Oryctolagus cuniculus: one gene and its partners. The protein of the gene in region 7 interacts with the protein of the main gene of each other region in a biochemical or structural test. Links are inferred from orthologs where the notes say so. Each region holds a gene or a part of one and is shown on either strand. Other genes may lie near its edges.

The links.
Region 1: the proteins of MAPK8 (region 7) and MAPK8IP3 form a complex in vitro, tested with the Homo sapiens proteins (3 studies listed by BioGRID, with this or other methods). The link is inferred for Oryctolagus cuniculus from reciprocal best matches to the Homo sapiens genes MAPK8 and MAPK8IP3.
Region 2: of the proteins of MAPK8 (region 7) and MAP3K1, one has a biochemical effect on the other in vitro, tested with the Homo sapiens proteins (3 studies listed by BioGRID, with this or other methods). The link is inferred for Oryctolagus cuniculus from reciprocal best matches to the Homo sapiens genes MAPK8 and MAP3K1.
Region 3: the proteins of MAPK8 (region 7) and DUSP10 form a complex in vitro, tested with the Homo sapiens proteins (2 studies listed by BioGRID, with this or other methods). The link is inferred for Oryctolagus cuniculus from reciprocal best matches to the Homo sapiens genes MAPK8 and DUSP10.
Region 4: the proteins of MAPK8 (region 7) and H2AX form a complex in vitro, tested with the Homo sapiens proteins (2 studies listed by BioGRID, with this or other methods). The link is inferred for Oryctolagus cuniculus from reciprocal best matches to the Homo sapiens genes MAPK8 and H2AX.
Region 5: of the proteins of MAPK8 (region 7) and MAPT, one has a biochemical effect on the other in vitro, tested with the Homo sapiens proteins (2 studies listed by BioGRID). The link is inferred for Oryctolagus cuniculus from reciprocal best matches to the Homo sapiens genes MAPK8 and MAPT.
Region 6: the proteins of MAPK8 (region 7) and GSTP1 form a complex in vitro, tested with the Homo sapiens proteins (2 studies listed by BioGRID). The link is inferred for Oryctolagus cuniculus from reciprocal best matches to the Homo sapiens genes MAPK8 and GSTP1.

Annotation. Positions count from the first base shown.
Region 1 is NC_091450.1:33,432,118-33,436,308, reverse strand, and holds the start of MAPK8IP3 (C-Jun-amino-terminal kinase-interacting protein 3), read left to right. Parts: upstream 1-1,391; 5' UTR 1,392-1,568; coding exon 1,569-1,886; intron 1,887-4,191.
Region 2 is NC_091445.1:77,490,529-77,494,711, reverse strand, and holds the start of MAP3K1 (mitogen-activated protein kinase kinase kinase 1), read right to left. Parts: upstream 2,801-4,183; 5' UTR 2,775-2,800; coding exon 2,296-2,774; intron 1-2,295. UniProt on the Homo sapiens protein: Component of a protein kinase signal transduction cascade. Activates the ERK and JNK kinase pathways by phosphorylation of MAP2K1 and MAP2K4. May phosphorylate the MAPK8/JNK1 kinase.
Region 3 is NC_091444.1:36,078,647-36,082,826, forward strand, and holds the start of DUSP10 (dual specificity protein phosphatase 10), read right to left. Parts: upstream 2,801-4,180; 5' UTR 2,276-2,800; exon of another isoform or gene 2,171-2,275; intron 2,095-2,170; exon of another isoform or gene 1,574-2,094; intron 156-1,573; 5' UTR 113-155; coding exon 1-112. Other genes in the region: uncharacterized protein, read left to right, coding at 2,928-3,770. UniProt on the Homo sapiens protein: Protein phosphatase involved in the inactivation of MAP kinases. Has a specificity for the MAPK11/MAPK12/MAPK13/MAPK14 subfamily. It preferably dephosphorylates p38.
Region 4 is NC_091432.1:111,204,176-111,207,080, forward strand, and holds H2AX (histone H2AX), read left to right. Parts: upstream 1-1,350; 5' UTR 1,351-1,438; coding exon 1,439-1,870; 3' UTR 1,871-2,405; downstream 2,406-2,905. Other genes in the region: DPAGT1 (UDP-N-acetylglucosamine--dolichyl-phosphate N-acetylglucosaminephosphotransferase), read left to right, coding at 14-169, 253-318; HMBS (porphobilinogen deaminase), read right to left, coding at 2,899-2,905. UniProt on the Homo sapiens protein: Variant histone H2A which replaces conventional H2A in a subset of nucleosomes. Nucleosomes wrap and compact DNA into chromatin, limiting DNA accessibility to the cellular machineries which require DNA as a template.
Region 5 is NC_091448.1:17,246,876-17,250,375, reverse strand, and holds part of MAPT (microtubule-associated protein tau), read left to right. Parts: intron 1-1,470; coding exon 1,471-1,668; intron 1,669-2,565; coding exon 2,566-2,698; intron 2,699-3,500. UniProt on the Homo sapiens protein: Promotes microtubule assembly and stability, and might be involved in the establishment and maintenance of neuronal polarity.
Region 6 is NC_091432.1:4,531,876-4,535,924, reverse strand, and holds GSTP1 (glutathione S-transferase P), read left to right. Parts: upstream 1-1,249; 5' UTR 1,250-1,411; coding exon 1,412-1,412; intron 1,413-1,644; coding exon 1,645-1,680; intron 1,681-1,805; coding exon 1,806-1,912; intron 1,913-1,993; coding exon 1,994-2,081; intron 2,082-2,378; coding exon 2,379-2,482; intron 2,483-3,105; coding exon 3,106-3,213; intron 3,214-3,394; coding exon 3,395-3,583; 3' UTR 3,584-3,643; downstream 3,644-4,049. UniProt on the Homo sapiens protein: Conjugation of reduced glutathione to a wide number of exogenous and endogenous hydrophobic electrophiles. Involved in the formation of glutathione conjugates of both prostaglandin A2 (PGA2) and prostaglandin J2 (PGJ2).
Region 7 is NC_091446.1:81,421,328-81,424,827, forward strand, and holds part of MAPK8 (mitogen-activated protein kinase 8), read left to right. Parts: intron 1-219; coding exon 220-291; intron 292-1,596; coding exon 1,597-1,779; intron 1,780-2,072; coding exon 2,073-2,197; intron 2,198-2,722; coding exon 2,723-2,786; intron 2,787-3,500. UniProt on the Homo sapiens protein: Serine/threonine-protein kinase involved in various processes such as cell proliferation, differentiation, migration, transformation and programmed cell death.

The DNA of each region.
Region 1 (4,191 bases), on a different chromosome or scaffold from region 7:
GCCTGACGCGGGACTTCAGCCCGGGGCGCGCAGAGCCCAGGCCGCCTGAACGCGGGACTTCAACCCGGGGCGCGCAGAGCCCAGGCCGCCTGACGCGGGACTTCAGCCCGGGGCGCGCAGAGCCCAGGCCGCCTGACGCGGGACTTCAGCCCGGGGCGCGCAGAGCCCAGGCCGCCAGACGCGGGACTTCAGCCCGGGGCGCGCAGAGCCCAGGCCGCCAGACGCGGGACTTCAACCCGGGGCGCGCAGAGCCCAGGCCGCCTGACGCGGGGCGCGCAGAGCCCAGGCCGCCTGACGCGGGACTTCAGCCCGGGGCGCGCAGAGCCCAGGCCGCCTGACGCGGGACTTCAGCCCGGGGCGCGCAGCCCGCTGGGTGACGGGGAGGGATCGGCTCCAGGGCGGCCGTGGTGCAGGTCAGGATGAGAGGCTCGGGGCCGACTCTAAGCCGTCCCTAATGTAAGTGAAGTCCTGGGTTCACAACGTCTGGGTGTGTGGTCACACACAGGCCTCCAGGGGCTGACTGCGGGCCGCGCCCCGAAGGCTGCAGGTACCAGATTTAGATTAAAAAAGGAGAGAACTGAAAACCTAAGAGATGCGCACCTATCAAGGCAGGGCTCAGGACGCCACCGCCGGCCGCGCCAGCGTCCCTGTCCTGGCGGCTCCACCTCCAGCCCGTGCCTGGGAAAGCACAGAGGACGGGGCGACGGATAAAGCCTTCAGCCTAGCCCAGCCCTGGGGGCAGGGAACGGGGGCTGGAAGGCCTCCCTCTCGGTCTCCAAGTCTTTCAAATAATCTTTTGAAAAAATTTTTAAAAATGGTTGATGAAAAAACTTCTTGCATAAAAGGCACTTTCAGACAAAGATCTCCCATCAGCTGGTTCATCCCCCAGCGGCCGGCCGAAGCCAGGAGCCCCAGCCGGGTCCCGGGCGCACCGGCAGGGGCTGGCTCCGCGACCCCCGCGACCCCGCGGGCTGGGCTGGACGCGCCTCGACGCCCGCCCCTCCCGGGCACGGAGTCCCTGCTTTTAACAGACGCGTCTCGACCCCGTTTCCGACAGTTTTGAACGAGATCAGAGAAACAAAAAGCGGATACTTGGAAACCCACTAGGTGGCCTCGACACGTGCCCACGGCCGACAAGAGCCGCGCCGGGGTCGGCCCGGGGTGCGGGCCGCAGGCCGCTTCCCGGGCGAGCGGAGGGCGCGGTCACCCGGGAGCCCCCGACCCGCTACGGCCTGGAAGCCGCCGTCCGCGCGCACCGCCCGGCGCGGCCGCAAACCGCCCTTCCGGCTCCGGTGCGCTTCCGGCGCGGAGCCCGCTTCCGCTGACGTCACGGCGCTGCGACCCCCGGCGGCGCGGCGGGGGCGGGACTTCCGGCGGCTGAGTGACGGGCGCGGCAGCGGCAGCGGCGGCAGCGGCGGCAGCGGCAGCGGCAGCAGAGTCGCCTCAGCCTCCCCCTCAGCGGCGGCGGCGCCCGAGGCGACGCCGCGGCCTGCGCACCCCCGGGCAGCCAGGGCGGGCCGGGCGCGCCGGCCGGACAGCGGGCCGCGCTGGCGGCGGCGGTGGCCGCGATGATGGAGATCCCGATGGACGAGGGCGGCGGCGTGGTGGTCTACCAGGACGACTACTGCTCGGGCTCGGTGATGTCGGAGCGCGTGTCGGGCCTGGCGGGCTCCATCTACCGCGAGTTCGAGCGCCTCATCCACTGCTACGACGAGGAGGTGGTCAAGGAGCTGATGCCGCTGGTGGTGAACGTGCTGGAGAACCTGGACTCGGTGCTCAGCGAGAACCAGGAGCACGAGGTGGAGCTGGAGCTGCTGCGCGAGGACAACGAGCAGCTGCTCACGCAGTACGAGCGCGAGAAGGCGCTGCGCAAGCAGGCCGAGGAGGTGCGCGCGGCCGGGCCGGGCCGGGGCCGGGGCGGGGAGGTGCGCGCGGCCGGGCCGGGGCCGGGGCCGGGGCGGGGAGGTGCGCGCGGCCGGGCCGGGGCCGGGCCGGGGCCGGGGAGGTGCGCGCGGCCGGGCCGGGGCCGGGGCCGGGGCCGGGGAGGTGCGCGCGGCCGGGGCCGGGGCCGGGGCCGGGGAGGTGCGCGCGGCCGGGCCGGGCCGGGGCCGGGGCGGGGAGGTGCGCGCGGCCGGGCCGGGGCCGGGGCCGGGGCCGGGGAGGTGCGCGCGGCCGGGGCCGGGGCCGGGGCCGGGGAGGTGCGCGCGGCCGGGCCGGGCCGGGGCCGGGGCGGGGAGGTGCGCGCGGCCGGGCCGGGCCGGGGCCGGGGCGGGGAGGTGCGCGCGGCCGGGCCGGGGCGGGGGCCGGGGCCGGGGCCGGGGGCGAGGAGGTGCGCGCGGCTGGGCCGGGGCGGGGGCCGGGGCCGGGGCCGGGGCCGGGGCGGGGGCGGGGGCGGGGGCGCGGGGCCGGGGCCGGGGCCGGGGCGAGGGCGCGCGGCCGGGGCCGGGGCGGCCCTAGCCCGGGAGTCGCCGGTCCGGGGCCGCGGGGAGCATCGCTTAGCCTGACCCCCTCGCCAGGGATGCCGAGCGCGACGGGTGCGGGGCCGGGGTCGGCGGCGGCCGTCCCAGGGCCGAGCGAAGGGGGTGCGGGGCCGGGGTCGCCGGCTCCGGCCCCCGAGGACCCAGAGCAGCCTGTGGGGACGGGGGAGGGGGAGGGGGGCGGCGGCGTTGGATGCGTCCCTAACCGGGAGTCGCTGGTCCGGGGGCGCCAGGGATGCCGAGCGCGGCGGCGGCCGGACCCAGCGCAGGGGGTGCGGGGGCCGTGGGCTCCCTCCCCGTGACCTTGGCCCTGGTCACCTGCCCGTCGGGCGGAGGAGCGAGTTGTCCGGGTGGGTCTGAGCCCAGAGACTGCGGGGAGGAGGTCCCGCGGTTCTCTTGGGCTTGTGGATGGGGGGGGGGGGGCAGAGGAGTTCGGGTTCCTTCCTGGTTAACTGGGCCTAGCGTTCTTGGCTTCGGTGCTCAGCCGTGAGGCGGTGCCAGTGTCTTGGCTTTTTTTTTCTTTTTCTCTAAGCCGCAGCGGTTTATGGCCTGGTTCGCGTCACGCGTGTTTGTGAAAGGCGCCGGTGTCCTGTCTGGCGTCATCCCTGCCGGCTCTGGTTGGCTTTGCTTCCCGGGTTCCCGTCTGGTTGCCGCCACCAAAGCTGGTGTGACGTTCTCCACGTCAGGGTTGCCAGAGCTGGAGTGTGAGAGCTTACGGAGATCTGGGGTGCTTCGCAGGGGAGCAGCTGGCCCCAAGAAGTGGGGGGCTGCCCAAGGTCACATGCACAGCCCTGGGCACCAGGCCAGGACGCACCTTCCCGCGCTGCAGGGGGTCAGAGGGCAGCTCCGGGCTGGGATGGAGCCGCCAGGATGGACGCGTCCACCCTCCCGCCAGTGCTCTGGGGACTGAGAGCCGCTGGGTGTGCGTGTGGTGTGCAGGCCGGCTCACCCGCCGCTGCCCCAGCTGTTGGAGAAGCTGCGGAGGGCTGTGGGAAAGGGTGGGTGGCCGGCCAGCCGTGATGGCACCAGGAGGCCCTGGTGAGGACGGGGCTGATGCCGTACACGCAGCATCCCGGCTCCCTTGTCACCGCAAGCAGGGGTCTGCGGGAAAGGCCTCTGATCACGGAGGTGTGTGATAACACAAGGGCTGGAGGTCACCGGTGCAGGCGTGGTGTGGTGCAGAGTTGGCTGAGCTGTCGGCCGAGGCCCGGCCCAGCCGCCGGCCAAGAAGGCTTAGTCAGAGTCGGGAACCTGAGCCGACAGAGCGGCAGGGGTCTCCCGAAGGCCTTGACCCAAGAGAGCAGCCGTCCCCTGCCTCACAGCCAGCACCCTGGGAGGTTCTGGGCGCGTCCTGGCGGCTGGAGCCCTGGGGTGACAGTGGCTGGAGATGGTGGGGTCCCGGGAGAGGCCCCTGCACCCAGCCTCGTCTCCTCTCTGGGCCGCCGCGGCTGCTTGGGGAAGCGGGTGGGTTCCGGATGTGGCACGTGGAGGACTGTGCTGAGACGGTGTGGCAGTCAGGGCAGAGCCCCTGGGGGCTCACGGCGAGCCCGGGCATCGCCAGCCCCCGCGGGGCAGAGCAGGTCCTGTGGCCCAGTGTGAGTGCCTCAAGCTCCTTCCCTTGGAGGAGGGGGAGCTCGGGCCGGTGAGCGGGCCTGCTTTGCTGCATCACCCGGCGGCCGGCCAGGAGCCCAGAGCCCTTTCCCGGGAGTGGCAC
Region 2 (4,183 bases), on a different chromosome or scaffold from region 7:
TTTTGAGACAGAAGGGATTTCCAGACCTTTATTATTGAAACACAAAAATACTTCAAAATCTCAGTGTTAGAGTTTTGAATTGAAAGTATGAATGTAATTCCTGTCTAAAAAGCAAAAATGTAAAGTTCAATGGAGATTTTAATTGAATTTTTATCATCAAAATTTTTTCTAAGACTACACATGGTATAAATAAAATCATGCAATATAAATAAGTAAAAGAATTTAATGCCAAGTAATTTCTCCATAATCAGTTTTATACCAATAAATTCAAATAAATTCAATCCTCATGTCAAGGAAATGGGGGGAACACTATATTTCAAAAGTATAAGAAATCAACATTTTATTAGAATGAAATCTTTACATAACATGTAATCTTTACATATAACCAACGGCTTTCTGGCTAATAAAAGTAAACAAAAGATCATATTTGTCTGTTATTTTACATACTGTGCCATAACACACCTCTTAGACAAAGGGAGGAGCCTTCATAACTACACTGTAAAACCAAAAATTAAGCATGGACGACTCAGTTCCTCAATTCTGTCTGCTTCCACCCCAGTCTTCTCGGTCTGTGTCAAGGGATGACACTAAACAAGTTTTGTATTTACACTGGTTGCTCTTATACTACATTTACAGCTCATGAAAGTGAATAGAGGGCTGATGTTTGCCAGATTATTTATCCGAAAACCTAGGTCTCATGAAATTAGGTAAAATTAATCTCTCAAACTGGGGATTAAAAAGTTCACTTGCAGTAACAACTGCCTTCAAAGAGTGATACTAGTTAAGTTTGAATCTAATCCACATAGAAACAGGAAAGTACAGGGGAATGTTTTTAATGCCAATTTACACGTACAAGTGCACACGGAAAAATACCAGTCCCAGACCTCCCCTCCGTCTCAACACTGCCATGGTATGGCGCTGAGCATAGTTTTAAGGTTTCTTTGGGGGGGGGCACATCCACATAATAAACTGATTTTAAAGAACTGACCAAAGGCACAAAAAGTGCCACTGGCTTTAGATATCTAAGCAAAACCACAGATTCCCACTGTCAAACTCCTCACAATAAAACACACTTCATTCCCATCACCAAGTTCCAGAATTCCAAAGGGCGACGAGCGACTGTCACAAAAACATTTCCTGCAAGACTTCGCGCTCTGCACACACTAGTCAGATTCCTGTGACCACGATCAAGGATTACGGCTGTCACACTCACAATCATCTTACACACACACACTTTGCAGGAGCCAAAGCAGGGCGAGGCCAAAGCACAGCGGGTCCCAATGACCTTCCAGACACGCAGCGGAGGGCTTCCCCGAGCCGCAGCCCGCAACACCGGCGCCCCAGAACTGCGGGCAGCCCCGCAGCCGCGCGGAGCAGGAAGCACCGCGCCCGCGCCGCGGCCCCGGGGCCACGCCGGAGGGACTGGGGAGCCGTCACCGCCGCTTTCAAACTGAATGGCTGACACATCCGGTCCTGGCTCCGGCACCACTCCGCCGAACGCAAACTTCAAAGGCCACATTCAAACTCCGAGCAGGGATCCCTCGCGTCTTCGCGGTGCAACTTTGCATTCCCGAAGAGCACCCACAGACCCCTGGGGGACGAGGTTCGAAAACCCGCACGTCCTGCAAGGCTGCAAGCGCCCACGAGCCTGCAGTCCGTGGAGCAGCGCTTTGACAGGGGTTACCGGGCCGTGCACCGCGCCCGGGACCGGCTCCCAGTACCTGCCCTGAGACTCCAGGCCCCCGGCGGGCCGCGGGGCGCTGCCTGTCACGTCCCCGGGGACCTGCCGCTTTCTCCTCGGCCCTGCCTCTCTGCCCCCACCAGCCCCGACCTTGGGCTCCCCACCCACCCTGCAGCACGATGGGGCCTCGCCCCCCAAGCCCCCCGCCCCGGGGACACCGTTTTGGGGCGCCGCGGCCGGCCTTCTCCCCGCCCCCTCGGCTTGGCCTCGGGACGCCGCGCCCTGGCTCCTCGGAGAGCCCCGACCTCGGCAGCCCCACAAAGCCAGCCGGGGGGCCCCCCACACCTTTTCGCCACGGGTCCCCGCAGCGCGGCTCGCACGCCTGTCACATGTCTGCAAACAATAACAAACTCCCGCACGCCCCCGTCCCGTGCCCCAGCCGGGGTTCTGGGGCGCCGCCCGCCTCCAGAGGGGGTCGGGGGAGTTTGGGGGCGCAGGTCCCGGCGAGCAGCGCGCGGTCCCGCTGCGCCGAGCCCCAGGACGCCGTGCGCGCCGCCCGGGGTTCATTCATTGCCCGTCCGCCCGCCCCCCCAAGTCCCCGCCGCGCTGCTCACCCAGCGGGGGCCACTGCAGGAGGCTGCTCTGCGGCGGGCGCCCGCTTCTCCCCGGGCTCGGCCCCCGCGGGGCTCGGGGCGCCTGTGTCCGGCGCGGCCGCCGGCTCGGCAGGGTGGGCGCCGCCGCCTGCCGCTCCGTGAGGCGGCGGCACCGCCACCGGCTGGAAGCCGCTCGCACCCGCCGCTGCGTCCGAGGGCTCCGGAGACGGAGACGTGGAAGAGGACGGCGGCGAGGCGCCGAAGAAGAGCGGCGGCTCGGGCAGCTGGTCCAGCTCCACACTCCGCACTTTGCGCAGCTGCCGCCGCCGCCAGTCCGCCCGCTCGCGGCCCGCGCTGCCCGTCTCCCGCAGCAGCCCCGCGGCTGCCACGGGCGCGCTGCCCGCCTTGAGGGCCCCTCCGCCGCCGCCCGCCTCGGGGCTCGCCGCCCTGGCGCCCGGGAATCCCGACGACGAGGCGCGATTCCCCGCCGCCGCCGCCATTTTCTCTCGCGGGCTACATTCGCTCGGCCCCTGCGAGGGAGGGAGGGGGCGGGGAGAGCGCAGGGGGCGGGCGGACGGACGGGCGGGCGCTGCGCCGCCGGCGTAGGGCCGCTGCGCCAACTGCGTGAGCGCCGCCCGCCGGGCGCCCGGCCTGGGTGACGGGCGTGCGGACTGGCCCGCGACGGTGGCGGAGGCGGCGGCCGCAGGTGGGAAGGAGCGGGCGTTGCGCTCGGCCCCGCGCGGGCGGGCTGCGTGGGCTCGGCGGTGTCGGCTGCGGGGGCGCTCTGGGCTGTGCGCGTTGCCCCCGCGGCGCTGCCAGGTAGTGCGGGCCGCACCGGCGACAGGAGGAGCCTCGCGCCGCGGTCTCGCCCCGGCTTGCCCGGAGCTCGCTACAGAAATCAATGCACTGGAACTCGGGGGTGCGGTCCGTCAGCCGCACGGCCCCTGGCTGTGAGCGTCGGGGAACTCGGGCGCAGACCGGCCTCCCCCTACCCCCAGACCCTGCCGCGGCTCCGCTCCGGAGGTGGCGCAGGTGGTGCCCGGGGCTGTCGCACGCTGCAAAGCGAAAGCAAACCCGGGGTGCTGCGGCCCGAAAAGCTCAAGTTGTGTTTCGGCTTAAAGACAAGAGTGCCTCCCCTCAGGTCCCCTGCCCCACCGCGCCGTTCCCAGGGACGAACACGAGAGCTGCCCGTAACACCTTGTCCACCTCCTGACACCGCCGGGCGCGAGGGAGACCCCGAGCGGCGGGGGTCCCTGCCGCTGTCTCGCTCGGCCTCGAGCCGCTCCGAGCGCGTCTGGGGGCAGGAACCAGCGCCGTGCCAGGAAGTGCGCGCTCCTGTCACCCGCGGCCGGCGCCCGGCCCTCGGCGGCTGCGACGCCGCTCGCCGCACGTCTCTCTCGCCGGCGGGACCGGGCGGCCGCCGGGGTCCCCTCCGCCCCGCGGGCCCTGGGAGCCTCCGCGGAGAAGCTCACCTTTGCGTGTTAGCGGTTTTAGACGCCTACCCCCCCACACCCCTATTTTTTTTTTCCCCCGACAGAGCTCTGCGTCGCGTTTCTGTCCCCTCTCGTCTGCGCTGGGCAATCTCCCAGGAGCAGCGTCTCTAGATTTATTGTGCGGAGTAGTTAATGGAAGCATCGGAGAGGGAGCTGCCCTCGCGTAGAGACGAGGGAGCCTTCGTGCTGGTCTTCGTATACAGCTATACCTGAACCGTCTGCTAGATAATTCCTTTGACTTCCCAGGTGTAATGTTAAGTGGGGGACAAGGTGATGCCACGTGGACTTTAGAAAGGGTCCTGGTTTCCTAGTAGCGCAGTGCTTCTGCTGCTGCTGTCCCGCCCGCCCGTCACAGGATAGCTTGAGATTGCTACATCCAATGGTACACATTTTGAAACTTTAGGTAAATCTGTTAG
Region 3 (4,180 bases), on a different chromosome or scaffold from region 7:
CTGGAGTGGCAGAGCCAAGGTAGCTAGAGTCTAAACAAAGGTTGAGATCCTGAGGTCGGACGGGCCTAGACAGTGCCACTACTACCCTGTCGTCTAAAGGAGACGGAGGCATGAGGAGGCTGAAAACTGGCAATTCAAGAAGAACTCAAGATAGTCTGTAAAGAAGGGGGAGGGGAAAGAAAGAATAAAAACACGTGATACAAAAGGCAGTCTCATCCAATCCCTAGGAAAGGCCTTTGCATCCCTCGGAGCAGAGTAGTCCCAAGTGCCCTTTATCTTGCCGCTATCAAAGCTTGGATGTATTCATAGGAGGATGCAAATCTGAGGGCCCCCATCAGTTTTGCTGTGAAGTCTAGGGTTCGATTCAGACTTAATGTTGTAAATGTTAATGAGCAACCTGTCATGGACTGACATCAAAGTTCAGTCTCGGAGAAGGTACAAGCACCAAGAATTAGGAAAGCTGAAGACAGAAAGGAAGGTTCTTAAGAGGCATCTATTTTGAGCCTCACGCCCTGAGCAGAGGATTCTGCAACTGAGAAAGCCCTGATTGCCTACCTTCGAATGCTTCCCACTTCATCCCTTCACTCCCTGCAAAGCCAGAGGGATGACGAAGAGCATTGCCAAGGCTTACAGAAATATACAGCAGCTAAATACACATTAGGGCGGATGTCAACTTTCTGCACCTGAGAGGGAAAGGATTCCCCTAAGTGAACCTCTTTGGCCAGGAGCGAGTCTTGCTTTCCATTCTGTTGGGTCCTTTGAAACGCACAACATAGTCATATTAAAACCTCACAGGCTTTCTGGTAGCCTCATTAATTAATCTGCATCCCCCCCCCCCTTTGCACTAAACACTGGTGTCCTAAAACAAAATCTGAAGCGAAGGAGTTATCTATGGAAACCCCTCCCCCCCATCCTTCCTGCACTCCTGCCCTCTTCATCTCCCCTGCTATGCATCCTGGAGCTTTTCTCAGTGGGTAGCAGCTGCTTTGTATAGGATTTTAATCCCATACAGATATCTGCCCCTTGGAGAGTAAGGATGGGATAAAGACTTCCCTTTTAGCGTGTCCCTGTTGAAGGGAGGCAGGGAAGTGGAGACCAGGAGTCTACCCCTGATGTCTTCAGAGACCACCTGAACAGGAATGGTCCCTTCCTACCTGTGGGCTCAGGGACACCCTACAACTCGACCCCACTGACTCCTCTATCAGACATGCACACAGCAAAGAAACCAAACCCCGAGCAAGAGCCGCTCACCCAAACGAACTTCAAGAGCTGTCCGGGAAAAATGTCATCTATCATCCGTCTACACACGATCGTCACCATTCTCTGACACAGAGCCAAAGTGTTCACAGGCGGAATCCGCACACACACGCGCGCACATAGGGGCATGCACCCACCACCAGGTCCGCAGGTCCCCACTGACTCGGGTGTCGCTCTCTCACACACACTGCTCCCTTGCGTATGCGTAGTATTTTTTTTTTTTTTTTTTTGGAGGAGCGAGTACTATTCCATATTCTAAAAGCTGTAACTGTGTCCCAGCGGGACCAAGCAGCCGAAGTCTTTGCTATTGTGTTACCTGGTGGGGCACGTCCAGGATCCACAGTCTGCTTCCTCCGAGAGGGGCGCGCCAGCGCTTCCGCAGGCTCGCGCGCCGGGACCCCCGCCTCCACACGGGGTGCGCGGCCCGCACACACGCACCGGGCGTGCGGACAGATCTGCAGCCCTGCAGCAGACGGTCGGGCGTCTGTGCTGCGCGTGAAACCATCCAGTCTGGCCCAGGAAACCTCCCGGAGAAACCTCGAACTGAGCCCCCCTGCCCTGGCCAGCCGCCCTTCCGCCGCTAGGCAGGGGCTGGAAAGAAAAACTAAGTGATTAGCCCGTGCTCCTTGCCCGCTCCGAGGGCACGGAACGTGGCCCCCTCCTCGCCGCCGCACGGCGCGTGGAGAAGCCCCGGGCATTTAGTAGAACTGCCGCAAAGCATCCCAACAAACCTCGCTTTTGCTTCGCCCCCCGACTCGAGTAGGCTGCAGGGCGAGTAATCGCACCGGGCAGCGGGGCCAGGAGCCCCAAGCTCGGAAGCGTACCTGCTGGGGCTCCTCGGTCAGCATCGCGCCTCCCTCTCCCCTCTCTCACGCACACACACACACTCACACACACACGCACAGACACGCACCTCCACTCCCGGGCTCTCCAGAGTGGCCCCGGCGACTTCCACTTACTTCATCAATAAGTGTAGCCTTCCACCCCCCGGCGCTCGGTTTCAGCTAAGGACTCGCACCTTCAGCCCCCATTCACTTGGCTTCATTGATCTCCAGCAGCAACATAGTTACTTTCTCTTTTGCTACACTGTAAATGTAAGATTCTGAGGGGGCGGGCTGGCCTGCGACCGACGGCGCATTGGGCCAGTAGGAATCCGGAGAAAACCGACCGCTACCTCATAGAGGCCCGCGGCCAATGGGCGGCCGAGGGGGGCGGAGCTGTGGGCGTGGCCTCGCCTCGTCAGGGCGGGTTTATCCGACGCGGCTCCAGGTCCTCTGTGTTAGAACACGGGCGGTGATGTCATTGGCAACCAATCAAAAACTTAAAAGAGCCAGCCGGGGCCCGCGCGGAGCAGCTGCTCTCTATTTACATGTAAGCCGGCGCGGCCCGCCGCCTTAACCCTTTCCGGGGCTGAATTGTCAATGGGCGGCTCGGGCTAAACCAGGCTCTTCCCTCCTCGACCGGATCCTCCGTCCACACGCCCCTCGCCCTGAGACCCGCCGCGCGGCCTCCTCATCTCTCCTCCCTCCTTTGGACTGACGGCCCAAAGTGCCGGAGTAACTTTCTGAAGGCCGGGGACCACGGACAACCTCCGGCTCCACCTGGGAGAGCTGTGACCTGACAGACCCTCCCCGGGATTCGCCCACTTTTGCCAAGACTCCCCCCCTGGGATGCCTCGGAGCCCGCCCGCGAGCGGCGCCCCCTCCCCGCCCGCCCTGGGCCACGCACCGAGGGCCCCGACTCCGGAGCCGCCGCGGGCCGGCGGCCACTCGGCCCCTCCTCCTCCGGGCGGCCCGCAGATGTCGCTGCCCCACCGGCGGCCCCACTGGTACCCCGCGCAGCGGCAGCGCGCCTCCTTCTTGTTCTCCGGTATCCGCGACCCGGTCACGCCCCCGCCGTCGCCTGCCTGGGCCCCCGGGCTCGACCCTGAGCTCACAGGTGGCGCGGCGGAGGGCTGCTCGGAGGAGGCAGAGGCCTGGGGCCACGTCCGCTACGACCGCGGTCGGGCGCTGAGCCGCTGCACCGCTGCGGTTCCCCTGGGCCCGGCGCCCCGCGCCCCGCAGCGCACCGCCCAGGGCCCCAGAACCTCGCCCCAGTGGGCGCCCACCCCGTCTCCCCCGCGGCGCGTCGGGTCTCCGCAGCCCGCCTGCCGTGCTGGCCTCGGCCGCCGCCCCTCCACCCAGCACGGTCCCCGGCGAGCGGAGGACCGCCAGCCCGGCGCTTCTGGAACAGCGGCCGCGGGCGGCAAAGAGCCGGAGCCCAGCGTCCACAGCCTGGCTGCACGGAGCCGGAGGAGCGCCGAGGAGCCCGCGCCGCCGCTCGCCGTGCCCCCGACTTGGGCCGGCAGAAGGGTCCCCTGCCGGTGCGCAGGGGACACGAGTCGGGGCCGGGGCAAGCTGCTGGTCGCCGCCTCAGGAAAATGCCAGGAGAATTTCAGGAAAGTTGCCCTGGAAAACAAAACGGATTGGAAAAACCCAGATGAACTGTGGAGATATTACAACAAAGAATCCTGAAGAAAGAGAGCTTTTTCTCCCTCCCCTGCACCCCTGTCTCAGGGAGGAGGGGGCACAAAGCGAAATAATGACGATGCAGTAAAACAGGATGAACACTATGGAAATAGATGGCTGTGATTTTTTTTTTCTCCCCCTCTCTGTCTCTTCATTAACTGATTGGAGGTATTTAGAGAAAGGCTTCAGTCTCCAGGCCTAACAAATAGACTAAGTGGTAGGGCATATTTATATAATTGCTTGCAATGTGGGTCTGAAACCAGGAGGGGTCAAGCCATGACTAGCTGGCCAACTGTGCCCACTGAGCTGTTGGAAGAAATCCCCCTGGACACCTCTGCATAAGTGCAGGCCCATACACAGTCCAACTTCTCACACTAAAGTTTGAACAAGCATCAAGTGCCTCTGAGTGTTTTAAA
Region 4 (2,905 bases), on a different chromosome or scaffold from region 7:
CTGGTCCCCGCAGGTAGCAGAGAGGCTCCGGCTGGTGGCGGTGCGCCAGAGCGAGAGCGAGGACGGCCACTTCACCGAGTGTAACAACTTGACCCTCATCAACCTGCTGCTTAAGGTCTGCGGGCCCATCCATGAGCGGAACCTCACCTTGCTCCTGCTGCTGCTGCAGGTGAGGTCGGGCATGGGGATGGCGTTTGTACTTCCTTGTGGCTCTTTCTCGACGGACCTCACGCCAGTCCATTTCTCTTGCAGGTCGTGGGCAGCGCTCTCACCTTCTCCATCCGATACCAGCTTGTCCGGCTCTTCTATGATGTCTGAGTGCCCTGGGTGTTGGCCCTCACCTCAGAGTCTCCAGGGGTCCTGCCCTGACCCCTGTCTGGACCAAGGCTGCTTCCCCTTCCCCTGTGATCATGGACATCCGGGGCCTTTCTTGCCCTCTGGCGAAGGCCACTGAGACTTCACCTGTGGCTCCCCACCTCAGCTGGCCGCTCTCCCGCCCTCGCATCTCTGGGCTGCAGCGGATTTTGGACGGTTACCCACAACTCGACTCTCAGGGTCCTGCAGCTCAAGGGATGTGCTGGGCCTTGGGGCAGAACCTGGGCTAGGGAAGGGACACGGGCTGGAAGGGGGCTTGACTCTCGACTCTAAATGAAGTATTCTGATTAGTAAAGGCAGACGGGGCACCCGACGCTCCCGTCAGTGACAATAAAGGGTCTTTTTTCTTGTTTCTGTACGTATATTTCCTATGGGGGCATTTTAGGAAAACAGGGAAGGGCGCGGGGAGAGGACCTCCAAGCGGAGGCCTGTGCCTGTGGCTGCTCTTTCAGACCCTTCCCAGCGAGAACACAACTGAGACCTGACAGGAAAGCTCCCGGCGGCACAGGGGGCCTTAAGGTGGGAGTGGCCTGTCTTCCGACGTGGGATCGTCCCTTTTTGCACTCTCCTTCGGCCTATTCGGAGGGGGCGGGAGTAGGGCGCCCCCAGACTTAGATGGGAAAGCTGAGGTAGCAGAATCTAGTCCTTTCCTTTAAAAACCCCAGGCCAGCACGGGGTCTGGCTCCACCCCTTTCGTCTTCCGGTTCTAGTCTCCGCCTGCCACGTTTAAATCTCGCGCGCTTTGCGCGGATTGGCCGCGTCCGGAGTGGCTGCCTGTCAGCCGGCCCGCACGCTTCCTCACCTTCTTACCCGGGCAAAAGGTTTTCAAATTCGACCAATCGGCGGGCGCGCTCCCTCAGCCGAGGCGCGTCCCCGAAGGGTTAACCTCAGCCAACCGGAGGCGGGTACTAGAAAAAAGAGCCAATCAGGAGAGCGCAGGGGGTGTGCCCTAGGGGCATATAAGGGCGGCCCCGCCGCGCGCGCGCCGGCAGTTGGACTGCGGCGGTTGGCTGTTGGGGGCTTCCGTCCGGGCGTCGCTTCGTGCCGTTCTACCTCGCGCACCATGTCCGGCCGCGGCAAGACCGGCGGCAAGGCCCGCGCCAAGGCCAAGTCGCGCTCTTCGCGCGCCGGCCTGCAGTTCCCGGTGGGCCGCGTGCACCGGCTGCTGCGGAAGGGCCACTACGCCGAGCGCGTGGGCGCCGGCGCCCCGGTGTACCTGGCGGCCGTGCTCGAGTACCTGACGGCCGAGATCCTGGAGCTGGCGGGCAACGCGGCGCGCGACAACAAGAAGACGCGCATCATCCCCCGCCACCTGCAGCTGGCCATCCGCAACGACGAGGAGCTCAACAAGCTGCTGGGCGGCGTGACGATCGCCCAGGGAGGCGTCCTGCCCAACATCCAGGCCGTGCTGCTGCCCAAGAAGACCAGCGCCACCGTGGGGCCGAAGGCGCCTTCGGGCGGCAAGAAGGCCACGCAGGCCTCGCAGGAGTACTGAGGGGCCCGCGCCGCGGCCGCCCGCCCCGCGCCACCACAAAGGCCCTTTTAAGGGCCACCACCGCTCTCACGGAAAGAGCTGAGCCACGGCCGCTGCCCCTCCCCCGCGCCGCGCACCTGCACGCGCCTCGGGCCGGGCTCGTGACTCAGCCGCCCCACGCTGCGGGGCTGCGGGGCGGCCGCGGCGCCTGCGGAAGACGGCCTGCGGGGCCGAGCGGGCAGCCCTGAAGGTGAGGCCCTCGGCGGCCGCAGCCCAGGACTGGGACACCCGTCTGCGGCTTCCAGGCCTCGGCGGGAGACGCGCTGCCCCTCTCGTCGTTGGCGGCCGCACAGCCCGGCTCCGTTCGCCCCGGCGGGGCGGGGGACTGCCCGGAGGACTGCCGGGCGGCGGCGGCGCGGCCCGCGCGCTCAGACCAGCCCCGTCCGGACGGCCTCCGGTGGCTTGATTGGGACTTTGCAGCTAACTCGTCGGAGAACCAGAGACTGGGAGTTTCGGATGGACTCATTTTGTTTATTAAAGGATTTGGTTTTTTAAATGAAGCGCTTCCGTGTACTTGCCTGAGGGGGCGGGGCGGGGGTTCAGCTAACGGGAAAGGCTGTGCCGGGACCGGGTGAGGCAGGAGCCGGGGGGCTCTAAGGTGTGTGGGGGGCTCTCCGCGGTATCCGGGGACCGTGTCGGGCAGAACTACTGCGGCAGGAACGCGGTGTTCCAGAATTCGGGGGGAAGGGTCAAAGGGGTTTGTGCCTGTTTGCGTCTCCACCGACCGCACCACGAGACAACCGGAGAGCCGCCCTCAGCTGGTTTATTCCCGGGGCTGGTTACATTCAAAGGCTGTGGCTTGCATTGTGTTCTCTAGAGATGAGGCCCCCACGCAGCAGGAGGCAAGGCCCCTAGGTGAGGCGAGTCCCCGGCGGTCAGGGACCCCGCAGTTCCTCCTGGAGTGACCACTTCCCAGTGAGAACAGGGCACTCGGCCGACGTCCTCCCCGGGGAGCGGCAGCCCAGGCAGGCACCTGTGCCCACGGCCGCTTAGTGG
Region 5 (3,500 bases), on a different chromosome or scaffold from region 7:
GCGGAGAGGCGCAGGCCCCACGGCCCTCGTCCATCTGCGGTGTGCAGCCGGCAGCGGCCGGTGAAGCAGCCTGGTGGCCCGGCCCCTTCCACCTCTCCCTTCCCCGTGGTCCCTTGCTCCATGATGATGTGACTTGGAAGAGGCTCCCGTAACCGCACAGTGGTGTTTTTCTGCAAGTCCCACCGTGGCCCTAGGGAAAGCCTGTTTCCCTTAAAGGAAGCTAATGATTGCAGCAGGAGTCCTGCCTGGAACATGCGGCCTTTCATCAGGCCCGCAGTCAGGGCTGGCCCGGGAGGGAGGTGCTGAGGGCCCCCCTGTGGGGGTGGGGGGGACGCCAGCCTCATGCAGGCACCCACTCATTCATGCGTGCATGTATTCATCCGCTCAGTCGGCACACACCCAGGCCCAGCCTCTCTGCCCTGGAGTTGCCTCACAGACTAGCAAGCAGACCGTGGCCAGGTGTGGGGAGGGGCCTTGTGCAGCTGGGGAAGGAGGGTTGCCAGTGCCCGGGCCAGCTTTTCCGCCTTGGCGCGTGCCCCGAGGCCTCACCGGGAAGCCCCGTGCCCCTGCTTTGCAGCTGACTCCTTCCGTGGGACCCTCTGGACGTAGCCTCTTTGATTCCTGGTGATGCAGAGTAAAATTCCCTCTCCCCTTCCTCTCCCGGGGCCACGCTTCCTGGTCAGACTCCCACAGAGGCAGTCAGGACAAACCGTGGAGTCACGGCCATCCTTTAGGTGTCGTCGCTCCCTCTCGGAGCGCCTCCAGCCACGTGGCCCCCAGTCCCATGGGGCACCCACCCCAGCCAGGCTAAAACCTTAGGTCCAAGTGCCAGAGTCCGCTTCAGCCCAACTAGGATGCCCCAGGCGGCGTTAAGATCCGATCTGCCGGAGACTTCTGCCGGGATGTGCGTACGTGTGCAAGCACACACCCAGCCTCAGCGCTGCCGCCGGCATCGTCAGGACTCAGGGCAGGCACAGGGTTCCGCCAGTGTGGGAAGAGGCCCAGGGCCAGTGGGCAAACGTGAGCGCCCCTCTGGGTGGCGCATCTGGCCCGTGGCAGTGTGGGAATGCTCCCCTGGGAAACGTGCCTTGGCCACGTCCACTGCGTTAGCGCCTGAGAAGCACCTCTGAGCCGGGGCTGTCCTAAGTTGGAGGGGCTCAGGAAGACCCCAGGGTGGAGAAAGGGCACCCAGACCTCTGTCCATCTTGCACGCTTGCTGTTGCAAGCGCCGCCGCGTGGGAGTGAGGAACATCACGTGCACGTGGCCGTGGCTGTCGGATGAGGAGGGCTCACATTTCCTGTTCCTGCCCATCAGAGGGGCTGCTGAGGGACCCGGATGTGAACCGTTGGGGGATGACCGCGTTAAGCAGGGACCTGCCTTATTTATTTTTAGTTGCTGTCCATCTTTGAGTTTGTTTCCCTCGCCATGTGCTGACTTTTGTTTTGATTTTATTTATGTTTGTGTTTAAGCCATCCACACCTTCCTCTGCTAACACCCAGAGAACTAGGCCCTGCCCTAGCCCCAAACGCCCCTCTCCTGGTAGCTCAGACCCTTTGATCAAACCCTCCAGCCCTGCCGTGTGCCCAGAGCCAGCTTCCTCTCCTAAACACGTCTCTTCTGTCACACCCCGAAATGGCAGTTCTGGAACAAAGGAGATGAAGCTCAAGGTAAGGACTCGACCTCTGGAAAGAGCAGGCTGCCCGAGTGCTCAGTCCTCCAGGCGCTGAGACCTCCTCCCTCCCCCCGAGGAGCGGTGGCACAGCCGCACGTGCAGACTCGCCGGGACTCGGGCCAGGGGCAGGGGGCTCGAGGCCATGCCTCTCCGCTGCCCGGGCCCCTCGCAGCAGCAGCCCCCAAGACACCTGCTGGGACCCTGGCTTGGCAACCGCCCCTCTAATTGGGCTCCTCCTGACTTTGGTAACCGGAAGTGCCTCTGGTTCACCCTTGGCGGCCACACCTGTCCCTCCCGAACCAGCTCCTGCTCCCTGGCTAGTGTCAGTTTCTCACTGGAGTCTGTGCTGTGTGTGTCTCACGGGCGCCTCTGAGGAACCAAACCCACAGCTGCCCCCCACCTGTGCCAGGTCTTGCTCGTCACCCCGGGCCCCGAGCACACCTGACGTCTCGGTGTCGCTTGGGAGAGAACGGAAGAGTGGCTTCGCTCTGCAGCATTCTTGGGTCGGGCTCCACAAACAGTGTCTCCAAGGGCCTCTGAGGAAGCAGCCAGCACCAAATAAACCCATAATGAGAGGCAGCAATGGGGCCACCGCGGCCCGGTGTGCCCGTGCCTGCCCAAGGGGCCACACCAATGGCTCCCACGGGAATCGTTGGCAGGACTCCTGCTGATCACCACGCTGAGGGCTCCTCTGGGAGGAAGTGGAGATGCGGGCAGGTGGGTGGTGCTGTGGGCTTGTGTGACAGAAGGCCCTTGTGGCATCTGGTAGGCAAAGGGATGTCCCGGTCGTGGCCTCCTCAGAGTCCTGGTGGCGGAACGGGGCTGGCATTGGCGCTAGGTGGCAGTCCTCCTTGGCACGGTAAAAACCACTCTACCCTGATTCGGTTTACAGGGGGCTGATGGGAAAACTGGAACGAAGATCGCCACACCCCGGGGAGCTGCCCCTCCAGGCCAGAAAGGCGCAGCCAACGCCACCAGGATTCCCGCGAAAACCACGCCCTCCCCCAAGACCCCGCCGGGCACTGGTGAGAAGGGTGTTCTCCCCGATCCTGGCCTGGGGAGCTCCCAGCAGGTGCAGCCCTGGCCGCCGGGTTCCCCTGGCACTTAACAGCCCTCGGAGCTGCTCCGCGCCTTGCAGCCTACTCAGCCTCGGAGGGCTCACGTTCACCTTAATCCTGTGGACAGTTTGCTGGGGAGTGCTGAAGCCCCACGTGTTTCCATCAGGGAGCGAATGGAGGCACCGGGCGTTTGCCTGCTTGATTCTAACCAGCTCGAGGGAGGGGCGGCTGTAACTGATTAGGGGCAGGTGGGGGCTTTTCTCTGCGCTGCCCCCCCACCCCCTGGTGTGAGGCATTTCAGTCCCCAGGTGAGACCCATGGGGCAGCGGCTTGGCCAGGGCTCAGCCCCGGGTAGCGGCACTGCCGGGGGCGAAAGGCGAGGGTCGTGGCTGAGCAGCCAGCGGCTCTGCCCGCTCTCCAGGGCTCTGGGGAAAAACCACTGCCGGCTTTGATGACCTGGGCAGTTTCCGGCGAGCCGGTTGGCGTCCGTGGTGCTGTTGGGAACTGTCCCCCTTGTAGCAGGTGAGGGACAGCCTGGCTGGGCGTCTCCTCTCTCCCACGGCCCTGGTGGCCTGCTCCAGGCGGCCGAGTTTAGATTTTGCACCACGCGGCAGGTGCCTGGTCTGCATTTGCTCATCAGTGGTGCCAGGGAGTCTGTGGCTCTGGGTGCAGGCTGTGGTTGGGGCCTGGCCTGGCTCCTGGTATCTCCACTCAGGGCCTGCCCTTCATCCGCTGTGTGTCTTGGCCGCGCCGTGTGCCATGGGGTGGT
Region 6 (4,049 bases), on a different chromosome or scaffold from region 7:
CATGTGTCTCTGTGTATGCATGTGGTGTCTGTGTGTGCCTGTGTGTCTCTGTGTGTGCACATGTGCCTGTGTGTCTCTCTGTGTGTGCGTATGTACACACACAGGAGCACACAGATACACACAGGCACACACGCAGGTACACACAGTTATACAGGGAAACACACAGGTGCACAGATACACGCAGGCACACACACAGGTGCACACACAGGCACACACACAGGTGCACAGATACACACAGTTATACAGGCACACACAGGCACACACGCAGGTACACACAGTTATACAAACACACAGGTGCACAGATACACGCAGGCACACACACAGGTGCACAGATACACACAGTTATACAGGCACACACAGGCACACACAGGCACACACACAGGTGCACACACAGGTGCACACTTGTGCAGCAGCACATGCAGGCATAACAGCCCAGGGCCATCCTGTGCCGGCAGTGTGGACGGAGCGGGGCGGGGCCAAGCTGTAGTGAGCAGTGACCCGTAGACAAGCCTCACGGTCCAAGGGCATCGGTGGGGAACCAGCCAGCTGTGGGTGGAGCCAGGCTGCTGGAATGGGGGAGGGGAGAGGGAGACAGGACCCCCCCCCCCCCCCCCCGCTGTCTCCTGAGAGGGGCAGGTCTGGCTGTCCCTGGTGCCTGGGACACTGAGCGTGTGCACGCCTGTGACGGCATGGCGAGGGGGCTGAGCAGGTGCCCACGCGGGGCGGCGGGAGCGTGTGAGTGCCATGATGGGGTGCAGCCCCCAGTGTGCAGGGACAACAGGAAAGAGCAGCGTCCCGGTCTTTGATATTAAAATATTAAAATACACCTGCTCCTTGGCTTTATTTTCTTTGTTGTTTGTGGTTCACTAAAGCCTGAGGATCGCGGAAGGAAAAATCCAAGTTGCTTTTAGATCATTTCCAGGTCCAATGAGCCCGTCCAGCCAGACCAGACAGGACCGGGGTAAAGGGACTGGGGACTAGGGGTGAGACACGGCAGGATCAGAGACCACCTAGGCCCAGGCCCCTGGACCCGGCGCCCGGAGGGAGCTCTCCGGGGATGGCGACCCGGCCCAGACCACGGTGGGCAGAATTTCACCTGCTGGTCGCCAAGCCGTGCCTGTCCCCGCCTGCCCTACTTTGGCCCATCCAGGCCTGGGGACCCCCGCCCACACCACCGGCGCCCGGCACGGACAAAGGCGCTTCCGTTCCAATCCCGGGGTCGCGGCGCGGGCAGAGCCCACAATGACTCAGCACGGGGGGCGGAGCGGGGGCCGGCCGGGGCGGGCCGGGGCGGGCCGACCCTAATAAGGCTCGGGGCCGCTGGCCCTGCGCCCGAGCTCCGCTGCCGCCGCCCGCCTTCCACGCAGCAGCCTGCAAATCTGCCCGCGTCCACCGCGTCCACACCGCAAACAGTGAGTCCGCGCCGCTGGACTCCGAGGGGCTCTGAGAGCGGGGATGGGGCACGAGGCCGCCCGTTCCAACGCCGGGCGGGGGTCTCGGGGGCCCGGGTAGACCGTAGCCCGGGGCTGGGGGCTCCCGGGGGGCCGCGGCGCAGCGGAGGGACCCCAGGGAGCGCAGCGGCGCCCTCCGCTCCGCAGCGGACCCTGCGCGCAGCCCCTCATCCACTTCTCTGTCGCCCCCCAGTGCCGCCCTACACCATCGTCTACTTCCCAGTTCAAGGTAGGCGTCGGGACGCGGAAGAGAGGGGATGGGGGGATGGGGTGGCCGCGGGAGACCCTCTGTGCCCGGGGCCTCCCTGCCTGGGTCCCGCGCCCACCCCACCGCTCCGTCCTCCTCATCCCCAGGGCGCTGCGAGGCCATGCGCATGCTGCTGACCGACCAGGGCCAGAGCTGGAAGGAGGAGGTGGTGAACCTGGAGACCTGGTCGCAGGGCTCCCTCAAGGCCTCCTGTGTGAGTGAGGGCGCCCAGCCCGGGGCGGGGGCAGGGCCTGCAGCGGGGCATCGAGCTCACAGAGCCGCGCCCTTTCTCCAGCTGTACGGGCAGCTGCCCAAGTTGCAGGACGGAGACCTCACCCTGTACCAGTCCAATGCCATCCTGCGCCACCTGGGCCGCACCCTCGGTGAGTCCCGACCCCCCCCCCCCAGGCTGGGGGCGTGTGTGCGGCCGCCATTGGTCCTGAGCTAGCTCTGCCCGCCTTCTTCCCCAAGGGGAGGAAGTGGACAGGCACGGGGTCTGGGCCTGGCTCGAGCCCTCGCTCTCTGCCCGCCAGCTCCCATTGTCCTGGGCAGCACTTGAATGAGGGTCAGCTGCCCCTCCTCTCTGGGCTGTGCAGCCACGTGGCCGCCAGTGCGTCAGCCGGGGTGCGGGGTGGGTCAGGTGTCAGTCACACTGGCCGCTCCCCCCCACTCTGCCCCAGGGATCTATGGGAAGGACCAGCGGGAGGCCGCCCTGCTGGACATGGTGAATGACGGCGTGGAGGACCTGCGCATCAAGTACATCACCCTCATCTACACCAACTACGTGAGCCTGGGCCCCGGCAGCCTTTAGCCCTGACCCCAGCCCGCATGGGTCTCCGGCCGACCTTGCCCGCGGTCAGGGCTCACCAGCCTGCTTCGGCCGGACACACTCCCGCCCCCACTGCGTGGGGCATGAGCACAGTCCAGGGAGGGGGCCCCTTGGCCAGGGCCGAGTTGCAAGGGCGGGAGGCAGCGGGGGCAGGTGCGTCCTGGTGACTGGCGGGCACCGGTGCTCTTGCTGAGTAAGGTGTGCACACAGCAGGGGCCAGGTCAGCAGAGGGTGAGTCCATGCACACAAGCCGGGGGTGGTGGGAGACAGGCCGGGGGGGGGTGGCAGGCCCAGGTCCTGATGAAGACCTTGAACCTGACCGTGTGGAGTCCCCTGAGGGCAGTGGAATGGGGGCCACGCTCAGCAGGTCTGTGTCTGGAAGCTTCCGGGGTGGGGGGATCTGGTGAAAAATCCTAGCGGGGGTGGGGAGACAGAAGAACCAGCCTCTGATGGTGGGGAGGGGGCTGAGGGGAGGAGCAGCAGGCAGCCCTGGGTCCCCCGCCAGGGGGCAGTGCCAGGCCCTGGGGGGGTGGGCGCTGGGAGGGCAGGTGGTGCCAGCGGCTTTGTGTTTCTGGCAGGACGCGGGCAAGGACAGCTACGTGAAGGCCCTGCCCGGGCACCTCAAGCCTTTTGAGACCCTGCTGTCCCAGAACAAGGATGGCAAGTCCTTCATCGTGGGCGACCAGGTGAGCCCCCGGCCTGCCCGCCTGCCCTCCGGCCCCACTCGCTTGCCCTCCGGCCCCGCTCACTCTCTGTAGCCGGTAACAGGTGCACATCACTGCTTCAGCAAGGTGGGGCCGCCCTAGGGGGTGAGGAAGGGGCTCAGGCCCGTCCCACTGGCTGAGACCCCGTCCCCTCCCCTGGCAGATCTCCTTCGCCGACTACAACCTGCTGGACTTGTTGCTAACGCACCAGATCCTGGCCCCCGGCTGCCTGGACGCCTTCCCCCTGCTCTCGGCCTACGTGGCCCGCCTCAGTGCCCGGCCCAAGCTCAAGGCCTTCCTGGCCTCGCCCGAACACGTGAACCGCCCCATTAACGCCAACGGGAAAAAGTGAGGGTTTGTGGGACCTGCCGGAGGCCAGGCTGTCAGGACCAATAAAATTTTCTAGGGAGAAGCTGTGCGGTGCCGCGTGTTTCCTGGGGAGGGAGCTCTGGGGCCCTTGACCTTCAGTTCGGGCCAGAGGGCTAGGAAACCTGCATCCGAAACCGCACTCCTAGTGCCTGCCTGGAGCCCTCTGTCTGTGTCCACAGAACTTCAGGCACAGCAGGTGCAAGCCAAAGAAAGCAGAAAGCACCGTGGTCACCAGAGAGAAACCTTGCTCCCGGAAACAGGCTTCCAGCCGAGCAGGTGCCCGCGGCCGTGGCTCCGCCTAGCACAGCGGAGCCGAGAGGGCTCTGGGCTCAGGGGACACTGGCAGAGGCGCCGGCCCTGGGACTCTCGGGGAGAAGCGGAGTAGCTCGGGGCGGCCAGGGGTGGGCTGGGGGATAGTCACCCCTCACCCCTCCTGCAGGGTGCTCTGG
Region 7 (3,500 bases):
AATTGTTGATAAGAAACTGAAATATTCATAGGCTGCATCTGGCAGCAGGACATACAGTCTCTGCTGGTAGTCAGAGCACATTCACTGTCACTCATTTTTATTTTATACTGCTTTTTATAATTTGAAAGTATACATGGTGTGCGTGACTTTTTTTTAATGTTTATTTTTTTTTATTTTAACCAAAATCTTTATGTTAATGTCATTGCATTTTGTTTTCAGTTGACATTTGGTCAGTTGGGTGCATCATGGGAGAAATGATCAAAGGTGGTGTTTTGTTCCCAGGTACAGATCGTATCCTTATCTTTGGCCTAAAGTGTAGTTTCTAAAGGTCAAAATGTATGACAGCTGGGTCAGGTATAATGCATCTGTCTCTCCCTAATATAAGCATTGTTAAATTATTCTTTCAAAATACCACCTGCTATTGGCATAGACTTCTCCTTTCCCTCATTGATTGTTTCATAAGTTAATACTGAAACCTGCTCAAGTGTAATCACCCATAATTACTGGCTGGCTTTGAGTTGATTTATTGAACTAAATCAAAAGTCATGGCTTGCATTAAAAATTTCTAATAATACACTTGAGTAAGTCTAAAAACACCTACAACTTAATATGAATTTTGGAATTATCTGTTGCATCTGGCCATCCTTCTGTTTTGTCTGTTCCCCCCCACACTTTTTGTTACTGTGTGTATTTGTGTTTTTTGATTGTTGTCTCATCACTCAACATACTGATTCTTTCATCTGAGAATTTCAGCAGCAGTAGTTTTATGTGGTGGTGGTTAAATTTTGGTTCATGCTTTTTGTTCATCTGACTGCTTTCCATATTCATATTAACACTGATCTCTTAAGTTTTTGTTAACTGGTAATGCTTAGAATTCTTTAGGGAGGAAGAATGAGAAAGGTCACTTTGAGTTTTAGAATGAGGACTTCAGGGTCTTGGAATTCTGTAAAAGCTAGGAAAAAGGAAAACAGGGAATCCTAACCTTAAAATTTATTGAAGTTGCGGATCTGTTTCATAAGTTTCAGAACTTTACAGAAAATTAACATCGGATAAATAAAGAATGGCAAAGGAAAATGCCGCTTTTATCAAAGCCACAATTTTTCTTGCTACTGATTATTCTCTCTTGGTGTGGAAAACTCAAAGGCAAAACAGATTGTAGAAATATTTCTTATTCTCTAGGAAATGCATTCAAATTTTCTGATAATTTAGAAGAAAATGGCAATTTTGTATGTTAAAATTATGTATAGTTTACATTTAGAATCCCAGTGGATAGTAATAACCATGAGTTTTTTGTTTGAGTTACTTATAATTAATGTTTACAGTGTGGTCAGGTTCAGCTTCTGCTTTTATGGTGAAATCAGTCTGTACACACACAGACACACACACAGTCAACAGGGTCGGCAGAGCTCATTCACTGATCGTTTCTGTCACCTACCGTCAGTGCCTTTTGCAAGGTGGCTGTGAGATACAAAATTTATAACCGCCACATTCTTTCTTGGGATTTTAGAAATTTCCATTTTCTTGTATTTTAATGTGGATATAACTAATGTGTCGAACATTAGATACAGAGTATTTTTCTTAGCTACTTGATATTAGATATTGATCAGTGGAATAAAGTTATTGAACAGCTGGGAACACCATGTCCTGAGTTCATGAAGAAACTACAACCAACAGTAAGGACTTACGTGGAAAACAGACCTAAGTATGCCGGATATAGCTTTGAGAGGCTCTTCCCCGATGTGCTTTTCCCAGCTGACTCGGAACACAACAAGCTTAAAGGTACTTTTTACAAACATGTCGTCCCATTTCATGTGTGGGGTGTGTGCGTATTCATATTCTTATGGGACATAAACCCAAGGTTATCTGTGGATGGTGGGATGAAGTGAGGTTTTAGTTATTTTTATCTTTAATTTTATATTTCTAATCCTATGTATGACCTGATGCTATAGTAAAATTTATTGTTTTTAAAACATAGGCTTTTAAAATAAAAGATAATATCAGGTTTCTGAAAATTTATTGATAAATTGAGAACCTTTCTGAGTACAAGCATGGTAACATCATTATGTTTACAGCCAGTCAGGCAAGGGATTTGCTCTCTAAAATGCTGGTGATAGATGCATCTAAGAGGATCTCTGTAGACGAAGCTCTCCAGCACCCATACATCAATGTCTGGTACGATCCCTCTGAAGCAGAAGCCGTAAGTTCTTTCTTAATGTTTGAAGAATATGCTGCATTTTTAGAGTTGGCATTAAGTTACATTTGCAGGAGACCTTGTACTTTTAAGTAAAAAAATAGGAATGTTATAATGGTGTTTTCTATTTTTACATGAAGAGCGCCTTAAGCTAAGGTCATGTCCAAGCCACACCTATACAAAATCAAGTCACCCCCTAGTATTTCTTGCCTTGATACCTGATCAGAGGGACAGAGAGGCTAGGATATTGAATGCTCTGGGAAACGTCTTACCTTAGAAAAAAATTATCTTATCCAAAGCCTTGCAAAGTTCTGTGATATAAATGTGCAACAAAGTCAAAAGCTGGAGCAAAAGATAAGCATCATTCTTTCTGCAGTGAAGGAATCTTCCAAAACTGGTCTGTCTATATATATAAGAAGGTTGTTGACGATTGATCAGTCTTGGTCTAATGGTGCATTTTTACAAGTCTCCTGTCTGATTGATAATACTCCCAATAAACTGTCTCCATTATTGTTGCTTTGTGTTTTCCAGCCACCACCAAAGATTCCTGACAAACAGTTAGACGAAAGGGAACACACGATAGAAGAATGGAAAGGTAACATTTATCAGATTCTTAGAAAATTGAAAGAGCTTCTGCCTCTTTGAAATGTGATTTGTTCATCATGTTAGGGAAATTAATGATATTTTTCCATTATTCATAACTGGTATTTATTGATAATATGATACCTAATGTTTTTACAACAGTGGAAAGTATGTCCCTTTCTCTCACTGACCAAATTTTAATTTTCCAAGTTCTCTACCCAAACACAAATACACATTAGTGTTTCTCTTGAATTTTTCCTTAGTCTGTAAAAATGCAGCTGTATTTGGTGTATGCCCTCTCCCTTCTCCTACCGTTTGTAAGTCACAGATTGTTCTACACTATGTGTACTATGCACACTTGCCTTGTTGCAATAATCATACATCTTGAAGGTGTTTCTCGGTTCATGTGACTGCCCCATTTGGTTCTGCTCTGTGATGTATCACAATTTCTATATCCAGCTGCCTCTTGAAGAGCATTTTCATTGAGTCTAGTCTATTACATTGATAGACAACTCTACAGTATTCCTGTGCACATGCGAGAATAGGCCTTTAAGAAACATTCCAGGAAATGTGCTGTGTCAAAGGATATTTTTCAGTTATTTCTAACTAATCCCCACAAAAATTTTAGTTGTATCATATAGCTAAGTGTCAGTCAGTGGTTCCCCCTCCCTTTTCAACAGAATGCTAACAGATTAAGAAATTAATAGTATAGTAATCTTTTCTGTTG